3 linked regions of the Mus musculus genome follow. The protein of the gene in region 1 interacts with the protein of each later gene in a biochemical or structural test. Links are inferred from orthologs where the notes say so. Each region holds a gene or a part of one and is shown on either strand. Other genes may lie near its edges.

Region 1 (3,500 bases):
TTTTATTTGTGGGGGCGGAGTCTCTAGCTGAGCCTTGAGTTGAGCTCTGTTCATGTAGGCGGATTGACCCAGGTGATCTAAGCTTTGCCTTGCAAGCAGCTGCCCACATTGACCAACTTTTATGTGGGTTTTGGGATCCTGAACTTGGATCCACTGAGCCACTTCCCCAGGCTTCAGGGAATTTTATTTGTATTTGATAATTATATATATATGAATGAATTGGGAAACTTGAAACAAAGGAATCAAACCCAATAAATAACCAAGGCATAAAAATTGATTGAGATTTGATTTTTAAATAATTTTAAACTATAAAAACATAAGAAAAAGGCTGAAATAAATTTAAGCTCTAACAGAATTATGATATTTTACACTAATAAAAGTACCAACTAGTTCACAAGGTATTCATTCAGATTAGGCATATTATAAGATTTCAGATTTGATAAGTAAGCAGACAGTTCTTTTATTTTTGAATGAATCACAACCTATCTGAAACTGTCCTTTCGCGATAGTGGTGGCGAGCTAGAAGACCAACATATGGCCCATACTTCATTTCTGAACAACTAGGACATCAAGAGATAATATAGGATTGAAAGCAATTACAGGAAGCAACTTATACTGAAGAAAACAGATGACATGGCTAAAGGCATCAAGATATATTTAACTCTATGAAAAATTTCCATGGTTTGTATTATTTATTATGAAGAATATAATTTAGCACCTGGAATATATCAAATTCTACTTCTGCCATGTCAGCTTTTATTAATATTTGTGAGGGAGAGAAGGAGGGAGGAAGAGTCTTACAGTCAGATGTGTAAGTGCAGAAAATGAGGGTTTGGGGGCCATTAACATTCTTCTTAAAAAAAAAAATCCTCCACTCTGACCTTAATCTTTTAAAGCCAACACATTCCTAAAACTGAAAAGTTGCCTTAATTCTGCCTAGAAGAAGAATGTTACTATCAAATGGTGGGCACAGCTAAACACACCTTTGCAGTAGCACATTATATATGTCATTATCTTTCACAATAACAAAGATGAATTATATTTAATTATATAGATTGATTGCAGAATTTTGCAGCTGTCTATCTTTGTCAGGACATTGGGCATTAGGCAAAGTTCACTTAGGATAATAATATTTTCTTCATGGTTTCATCCTGTTGCTTTTTGTTTAATTTATTGATTCATACTAACTATGGAGAGTCCCTGGAGCATTTCTGTGGCCTTGTGTATCTCTGAGTGATAAAGAGAATTTAGTCTTACATGTTTACATGTACAACAGAAGTATCCACCAAAGCTGGGGCATGTTTTAGTGGGTAAAGTTTAGGTCACAATAGTGAGTGATTGGCTCTGATACACTCTACTTCATTTTATGCACAAAGTTATTATCTTACTTGCAAATGATTAAAGTAGGAGTGTCCATTACAAGACTGTAAAATATGTAGCATGAGTCCTCTTTTCTCTTACTTTTAAGCCTTGTCTGCTCCCATGGTGCCAGGGCAAATCTTGAGGGCCAACCCTCTCTACATCCCAGGAGAAAAGGGTACTTCCCAGAAGGAAGTAGCAGGAGTTTGCACATGACTGTAAGTGTGGTACAGTGCTCGTCTCTAATGGTGCTTCACTTGATACCTTAAGTGTGAGTTTGCCCTTCCTTCTCTCCCTTGGTTCTTTCTAGAGGACTTTCCTGAGAAGGCCCATGTATATTATAACAGGCAAGAGTATCTTTGAAACATTGAAACATTGGTGGGTAACATTCTGTCGTCACTGAAGGATAGTCCCATTAGGTAAATCTTACTCTGGCAGTCGTGTCTATAGCCATGAAATACACAGGCAGAGAGAAACAGAAGTGGCCAGAGGAAAGGATTTTATTTATATCTTCACATATGCCATTGCCAGGGACTCAATACATGTGAGAAAAATTTAGTTGTATTTACTATTTAATTTTACTGCATGAAAACTCAAAACATGCTGGTTATGAATTATTTAATGAATTATTATAATATTTACATGTAACTTATTATTACAAAATGTTCTATTGTTAAGAATAACAGTATAGGCTGTAGTTCTTTCCTAACTATCAAAGTATTTCCCTTAGATACATATTTCAAAATACAAGAACATATTTTTTTGAAGTATTGAAATCAGCAGGACTAATAGATTAAATAATATGACTTACCAATATTTCATTACAGTAGAAGAATATACAGAATCCTATATACTTTGGCCCTCCATGCTACTGTAAAATGGAATTATGGTTCTCTCCAGGAAGGAAGTCTTACGGAATCACTGCTGCTGCTGTGCTCTGACGTACCTGGGCTCGTGGTAGTTGACGTAGGAATAGTGCTCCAGGAGTTTCCATGTTATCCCGTTGTCATATGAATAGTGCAGCAGGACTCCCTCCCCCGGCTGGTCAGGGGCTCTGCACGTGCTCAGCACAGACTTGCTCCCCAGCCTCAGTGTAAACTGAAGAAACCTAGACACGAGTAACTCATGATTAGTGAGCACATTAATATTCTTTTTGATAGACTAAGTTTTGTTTCCAAAGAATTTCACAATCATTGAAATGAACATCTCAGAAGCTCTAGACTAACATCACTGTCTTATGAAATAGAAGTCATTGTACCGTGAGATGTATAAGTGTAGAAGGTGTGTATATATTTTATAGATACATCTGTATACTTATAACTCCTTGTATACTGTGTACTTGTATATACATACTTAAAACGCCAATCATTCTTTTACTGCATTATTTATCAGGCACTGGGGGAAGGGCTGACACAGAGTAAATCTAATCAGCCCCTGCAAGCTGTCAAATAAATAAACTACATGAATAATTAACCAGGTTTTGGCTTAAGAACACAGTTTTGATGCGCGCATCTCATATTTTAAAAATGTCAGTTGTTAGTAGCTCAAAGTCATTGGTGAGTCTTCTAGTTTATTAAAAACTAGAGAAAATTCATTATAAACAAACTCAGCATTCTTCCAGCCTACTTAGACACTAGAAGATATATCCATCTAGTAAAAGAAAAAAGACTACAAACTGAAAGTGGATCCAAACCCAATCACATGCTTGCTGTGTATGCTCTAGCCCACCGGCACTCACCTGGACTGCGAGCTGTCCAGAAAGGACGTGATTAGCTGCCGCCTCCCATCTTTGTTGAAAACCAGAGCCTTACCACTGGCTAAGACACCACAACCAAAGCTGACTTCAGCACCACGGATAGAGTAAAAGTTATGGTAAGAGGAAAGTCTGGCACTGCCAAAGCTTTCCGAAATAAACATTGGGAATGTCTGAGATGCCATCTCACAAGCTGGGCCAGAAAATCCTGGGTCACACCTGAAAGAAAGACAGAAAGGTACTGGAAATGAGTCTTGAGCTGTAGGTCCTTCAGAGCCTGCTGATCTTGATAGTCCATCCTTTGAATATTCCTGGGCTTACGTGTGTGTGTGTGTGTGTGTGTGTGTGTGTGTAGTGTGTGGTGTGAGGTTGGTGGGCAGGGGATGGG
Region 2 (3,500 bases), on another chromosome or scaffold:
TTTATTTAAAAGACTCAAAAGGAAGGAACCATGTAGAGTGTTCTTTGGTTTGTTTCTTTTTGGAGAGTGCCTTATTTTCCATTATACCTTGCCCATATAGCTGATGTATATTCTCAGCTAGTGATATGACTTCAGCTGACATGCAATAGGTTGGTCTAGGTATAAACGCTGCCTTCCAAAATGAAATACCCAAGGCCAGCTTAAGCTTTTGAACACTGTCCCTTTAAGTGTCAGTTGTGGGTCTCATCTCGAATTAGTTTCGAGCCTTCTACTGTTTTCTTGGTCCTTTATTTCTGCTCTTACACATAGTATGGCTGCATCTTATTTTATACTGTGAAACTGTTTTGTCATATTTCAGAAACTCGTTCTCAATATAACAGCACTGTAGCTTTACAATTAGAAAGCTAAAGTTACTCATCGAAGATGAATATATTTGATTTGGTGATGAGAGGCTTGTATGTTGTCTTTTTGTTTGTATGTTTGTTTTTTTATAAGTGCTGATGTACTTTCAATGGGCATCCTCCCTCTAACAGGCAACATAACATGTAGTGCAGATGAGTTCACTTGCTCCAGTGGCCGCTGCGTCTCCAGAAACTTTGTGTGCAATGGCCAGGATGACTGTGACGATGGCAGTGATGAGCTGGACTGTGCTCCACCAACCTGCGGAGCCCACGAGTTCCAGTGCAGCACCTCTTCCTGCATTCCCCTCAGCTGGGTGTGTGATGATGACGCAGACTGTTCAGACCAATCAGACGAGTCTCTTGAGCAGTGTGGCCGTCAGCCTGTGATACATACCAAATGTCCTACCAGTGAGATCCAGTGTGGCTCTGGCGAGTGCATTCACAAAAAATGGCGGTGTGACGGAGACCCTGACTGCAAGGACGGCAGCGATGAGGTCAACTGCCGTAAGTAACTTTCCAGTTCAATTCCATGCGCCAACCGGAAGCCATTTGGCTGACTTCATTCCATCATTGTTACCTTCTTTCGTAGCTTCTCGAACCTGCCGACCTGACCAGTTTGAATGTGAAGATGGTAGCTGTATCCACGGCAGCAGGCAATGCAATGGCATCCGAGACTGTGTTGATGGCTCTGATGAAGTCAACTGCAAAAACGGTGAGGTTCTTTCTCCATTGTGTTTGGTTAGGCTATTGGCTACTCCTGTCAGAACAGCAGTGGAACTTTTCTCCTGTGTTTGAATTTATAGTCAATCAGTGCCTGGGCCCTGGAAAGTTCAAGTGCAGAAGCGGGGAATGCATAGACATGAGCAAAGTATGTGACCAGGAACAAGACTGCAGAGACTGGAGTGACGAGCCCCTGAAGGAATGCCGTAAGTGAGAGGGAGGCTTGCTCGGGGCCAGAGCTGAGAGGTTCCATTCAGCCCTAATGCTGTTTTGGACACAGCTTAGTTCTCTGTTGAACTCAGAATGAGCTAATTTTTAATAGTTAAGCTTGAAGATAAAGTATTTCAAAGTGGAATTTTAGCCCATGACAAACTAACTCAGGGTTGAGAAACCCCTTAAGATAGCTAAAAGTCATAGCAAAACTTGAGTAAATCCTTAATAACTAACTACCATCCAGCCTGAAATGTATATCTCCCAAACACATAATAAAATCTTTGAAAGGCCATCACCAATAGCCGGAGACTGAATGTGAATAAGACAACTATCAATTAAGAATAAGATGTCGCCAGGCGGTGGTGGTGCATGCCTTTAATCCCAGCACTTGGGAGGCAGAGGCAGGCGGATTTCTGAGTTCGAGGCCAGCCTGGTCTACAGAGTGAGTTCCAGGACAGCCAGGGCTATACAGAGAAACTCTGTCTCAAAAAACAAAACGAACAAACAAACAAACAAAAGCAAAACAAAAGAATAAGATGTCATACTAATTTGGACTCTGGGTTTATAAAACAGAAAACAAAATGACCACTAGGAAATTGGGAGGGAGATGTTTGTGCAGCATCTTCAGAGAGTTGGGTGGAGTGTCATGTTGGATATGATCAAAATACATTGTATCTGTATGTGGAAGTCTCAAAGAATAAATCTAAAACATTGTATTCAAAGCAAATAAATAAGCTATCAGATGACTCTGCTACCCTTTTATTCCAGATATCAACGAATGCCTGGTCAATAATGGTGGCTGTTCCCATATCTGCAAAGACCTAGTTATAGGTTATGAGTGTGATTGTGCAGCTGGGTTTGAACTGATAGATAGGAAAACCTGTGGAGGTGAGTTGAAGCAAAGAGCCTGGCCCCTGGCGGACACGGGAAAGGGCAACATACATCTAGTGAGGCATAGGAAGAACAAGACTAATTCTAATTTCCCTCCTAGATATTGATGAATGCCAAAACCCGGGGATCTGCAGTCAAATTTGTATCAACTTAAAAGGCGGTTACAAGTGTGAATGTAGTCGTGGCTATCAAATGGATCTTGCCACTGGCGTGTGCAAGGCAGTAGGTAAATAGACTTGGGCTGGTGTTGCTCTGGTACCTTTTTGAGTTAGTGATTCTAAAAGGTACAGTTGGTGACTGCAGCAGTCAACCTACACATAAAGTCACACCCCAGAGCAATGCTATTAAACTCTGAGTGCAGCAGGATAGCTGAAAATAAACCATCTTCCCACACATCTGCCTTGGTCCTTCCTTTTGCATAGGATACTGTGAATAGTCACCGTAGTTTCTTCCTTTCTGCTTCTAAAACTGAGCACAATTCAAACAAGTAACTTGTTTATCAGCCACCCTACTTTCGGATGCTGTAACCCCAAGACTGCCTTCCTAAACAGGGTGGAAATACTTGCAGGTCCTAGGGGAGGGGAGGGGTGCCTGGAAATCCAGGCTGGATACTACTGAGATGTTCAGCAGTATCTTTACAAGTGGTCCTCTGTGGAGAGGAGATGACTTAGAGGATCTTGCCTTCGAGCAAAACTAAATCAACCTGGCTTATGTCTTGCAGGCAAAGAGCCGAGTCTGATCTTCACTAATCGAAGAGACATCAGGAAGATTGGCCTAGAGAGAAAGGAATACATCCAACTTGTAGAGCAACTAAGGAACACGGTGGCTCTCGATGCGGACATTGCAGCTCAGAAGCTGTTTTGGGCTGATCTCAGCCAGAAGGCCATCTTCAGGTAACTTCCACTTGCACCCCTGATGTCTGGGAATCTACGTCACTGTCATTAGGTCTGTGGAAAGGATTGGAGTATGCATGGGTCTTCTCTTGTCTGTGACTCCTATCTACCATCTACTTAGCTAGGAGTTTTAAATTCAACACTGATTTATTTTTAGCTATTAAATGATCACCAGAAGTTACCTTGATAATCATTGATCATGATGTAAAAGGTGCCTATGCCTGAATATGACATCAGAATTTCTCCCCTTTTGTGGTTGTGAACTGAATTGTCTTGCTACAAACAGAAATGATAGCAGCAGCTTTCCCTCAGTTGACACCGTAGACCCAAGATGATGGCTACTGAGTTGAATATCTCTTTTCAAATTTTGCTGGGCTTTGAG
Region 3 (3,500 bases), on another chromosome or scaffold:
TTTTGAGCCATCTGCAGCTTTTCTGAGAGGGCATTAGCTCCATTGGTGATGGCATTGCTCTCAGTGTCTTAGTTGCCTCCTACAGGTGGTCAGGTGGAATGGGAAAACAGCATTGAACCTGAGCAGGCTGACCCACTTACAGGCCTGTAACTGTGGCCGTAGCCCTTTCCACTCCCCGTGAGGCTAAGCTTTATGAGTGGGTAGTGCCCAGGGCTCACCTTCTCCACCACCCGTTGCTTTCTTGGGTGGGTGGGGGGCTGCAAACATTTGAAGCCCTGGTTCACTAGGGGGCCATGGTATTACCAAAAGATGAAGTGTGCCATGCCTTTTCCACATGCAGACTCAGGCTGTCCCACAGAGGTATCTGGATTTGGTTGAAAGTAGTTACTAAGGTGCAGGTTCCAGGGCCTGGAGCTCAGGGGTTAAACGTGCTTTCTGCTTTCCCAGAGGGCCCGGGGTTTGGTTCCAGCACCCAGGGATCTGATTCCATTTCCCTCTCCCTACCATACCCTATACAGAAAGCAGACACACATTCACTGGAAGGAAAATATAAAACTTTTTAAAAATGCAAATTCCTTTACCTTCAGCATCCCGATTCAGTCACCATGACTTGGGGCCAGGAACTTGAGCTTTCAACAGCCCCCTCAGCTCCTGCCTCTCGGTTAGTTCCGTCTGAGAGCCAGCAGTCAGCTCCGGCTGCTTCATGCTCTGAGGCATCAAGAAGTGCTCATGGCATTCCAACATTGATGACAGACGTGCCCTTCCCAAATGCCCACCCCACTTCATCACCCCACAAGACAACCAAAGCAGCTTTTTTTGTTTTGTTTTTGTTTTTTGTTTTTTGAGACAGGGTTTCTCTGTGTAGCCCTAGCTGTCCTGGAACTCACTTTGTAGATCAGGCTGGCCTTGAACTCAGAAATCCACCTACCTCTGCCTTCCAAGTGCTGGGATTAAAGGCGTGTGCCACCACTGCCCGGCCCAAAGCAGCTTGCTTTATTTATTTATTTGTTTGTTTGTTTGTCTATCTATCTATCTATCTATCTATCTATCTATCTATCTATCTATCTATCTATTGGTCAGGGTTTTTCTGTGTAGGCCCTGGCTGTCCTGGAACTCATTCTGTAGACCAGGTTGGCCTTGAACTCAGAGATTTGCCCATTTCCACCTCCTGAGTGCTGGAATTAAATGTATGTGCCACCATCTTCCAGCAAAAGTGGCCATTTTAAAAGCTCACTGAGTATTCGAGATCTACCTGACAGTTACCTCATGCAGAGTGAACTGTGAACTGCAGCTGACTCCATGACAGGTGTTCATGGGATAGCTTCAGGATCCACTCTCCTCACACTGAAGTAGTGTGTGATCACCTGGGGACCTTGATTTAGACACCCGCCCCTCCCCCTGCCCACTGCCCCTAACCCTGTCTACTCCTCCTACCCCTGCCCACTCCCCCTGCCCACTTCCCCTCCCCGCCCCTGCCCACTCCCCCTGCCCACTCACCTCCCCCTGCCCACTTCCCCTCCTCCTCCCCACTGCCCCTCATCCTACCCACTGCCCCTCACCCTGCTCACTGCCCACTTTTCTGTGCCTTTTCTTGCATCGGCCCGCTTTTGTTCTCTTGTGGCCTTTCATTCCAGCCATGAAATCAAATGAGAGGAAACAGATCATAGATCAGAGCGAGACAGGAATCACCCTTCTTCTGGGGGTATAAAACTGTGTATCAGACAAATGTGCCAAACCCTCATGTCATTCTTGTGTGCGTGTGCATGTGTGTATGCGTGTGTGTGTGTGTGTGTGTGTGCATGTGTGTGGCATGTGTGTGTGTGTGTCTGGAACTCAAGACTTAGCATCATGTCTGGTATCCAGCAGTGCTCAATGTTATTCATTGAATGGATTTACAAGACTCGGAGTCTCATTGATTATGTGTGGATAATAGTAACACGTAGCAAGCGTAGGCTGAGTGTTCTTCTAAGCATTTTACAGATATTAATCTGGTCACTAAAACGATCCTATACAGCAGGTCATTGTGTCACCTACACTTTATTGAGACAAAGAGAAGTGGTTAGGCTAAGGTCACGTGGCCAGCGAGTGACTGAGCTCCGATTCCAGCCCAGGCAGCGGCTTCCAGAGCCCACACCCTACTTCCCACGCTGGAGGCCGAGACATAATCCTCACCCTGCAGGGTTATTATAAAGATCAAATGGAAGCGCCTAGCACTGTGCCTGGCACAATCTAACTGAGGCCGGGACTCCTGCACACTGTGGAAGGCATCAGGGAGCCAACCAGAGGTCGTAAATGCATCTGCCTCGCCTGTCATGTGGAGGAAGGGAAGCTCAGAGGAAGAGCTTCCCCAAGTCCTGAAAGGGTTCTCATTCTTTCAGATTGAGAATCAACCCAGGGGCTCTAGGCCCCTGCTTGAGTCAGCCTCTGATTGCAGCTGCAGTAATTATAGCTGCGTACTCCCGCTGGGTCCTGCACGTGGAGGCTGCTCTCTGTGGTGGGCTCAACACCATCTTTGCAGAGACTTAGATTGTTGCTGGTAAGGTTTTGGTGAGCCCTCCAAACCCACAGGTTCAGATGACAGTTGCTGATCTGGAAGGTAAACTGAGGTCCAGTTAGCCATATCTTACTTACCCAGAGGCGCACAGCTGGAACATATCAAGGGTGTGGCGACTCCACAGTGCTGGATCTTAAAGGGAAGACATGTAGGAGCCCTTGGGTCAAGAAAGACTTGTGAGCTTTAGACTAGGAGACTCTGAGAGAGTGTTAGATCCGGTCGGTGTGGGGTGAGGTCGGATTTAGGACACAGCAAGCCTTTAGAAGAGGTTGGCTTCCGATGAAGACATGGAGCAGGAGGGCCCCAGTGGACTGCCAGGGACTTAAGCCCAGTAGCAGGACTGGTTGGTGCTATGACCTGTGTCACCCTTAGCTAAGCCGTGCACGGATGTCTGTCTTTACAGCCAGTGAAGAGTGTCCTGCCGAGAAGTTAAGCTGCGGACCCACCAGCCACAAGTGTGTGCCTGCCTCATGGCGCTGCGACGGAGAGAAGGACTGTGAGGGTGGTGCTGACGAGGCCGGCTGTCCCACCTGTGAGTCCAGGGCCAGTGGTCAGGCAGCCTCGGAGTGATGACCTCTTCTTGGGAGGGTCGGCGGGAAGGGAAGAATAATGCTACCATTAGAAACAAACGGCTGGGCACGTAGGAGACATTCTCTTCTCTCACCCTCATGACCACCTCATGAATAGCCATTACCATCCCCATTTAATGGATGAGGAAACTGAGGCTCAGACAAGGGAGGAAACATGCCCAAGGCTGAGGGGGTGGAACTGAGATTCAAATTCAGGTCTACACACAGCTTTCTACCATGTCTGACATCTGCTCATCCATTCTACAATTCTACCGTTTCCACTGATCTCCGAACAAGAACAGGGGGACCAAAAACTGGGCTGTACGAAATGTGGTGTCTCGTGCCAGCACACTAGCAGCACTGGGGATAGGGCATGT

What was found. The genes of interacting proteins can lie anywhere in the genome.
Region 2: the proteins of Reln (region 1) and Vldlr form a complex in vitro, tested with the Homo sapiens proteins (6 studies listed by BioGRID). The link is inferred for Mus musculus from reciprocal best matches to the Homo sapiens genes RELN and VLDLR.
Region 3: the proteins of Reln (region 1) and Lrp8 form a complex in vitro, tested with the Homo sapiens proteins (7 studies listed by BioGRID). The link is inferred for Mus musculus from reciprocal best matches to the Homo sapiens genes RELN and LRP8.

The regions. Positions count from the first base shown.
Region 1 is NC_000071.6:22,037,206-22,040,705, forward strand, and holds part of Reln (reelin isoform 1 precursor), read right to left. Parts: intron 3,332-3,500; coding exon 3,098-3,331; intron 2,468-3,097; coding exon 2,306-2,467; intron 1-2,305. UniProt on the Homo sapiens protein: Extracellular matrix serine protease secreted by pioneer neurons that plays a role in layering of neurons in the cerebral cortex and cerebellum by coordinating cell positioning during neurodevelopment.
Region 2 is NC_000085.6:27,237,520-27,241,019, forward strand, and holds part of Vldlr (very low-density lipoprotein receptor isoform b precursor), read left to right. Parts: intron 1-533; coding exon 534-905; intron 906-990; coding exon 991-1,113; intron 1,114-1,204; coding exon 1,205-1,327; intron 1,328-2,102; coding exon 2,103-2,222; intron 2,223-2,325; coding exon 2,326-2,451; intron 2,452-2,946; coding exon 2,947-3,118; intron 3,119-3,500. UniProt on the Homo sapiens protein: Multifunctional cell surface receptor that binds VLDL and transports it into cells by endocytosis and therefore plays an important role in energy metabolism.
Region 3 is NC_000070.6:107,840,259-107,843,758, forward strand, and holds part of Lrp8 (low-density lipoprotein receptor-related protein 8 isoform a precursor), read left to right. Parts: intron 1-2,957; coding exon 2,958-3,086; intron 3,087-3,092; exon of another isoform or gene 3,093-3,500. UniProt on the Homo sapiens protein: Cell surface receptor for Reelin (RELN) and apolipoprotein E (apoE)-containing ligands. LRP8 participates in transmitting the extracellular Reelin signal to intracellular signaling processes, by binding to DAB1 on its cytoplasmic tail.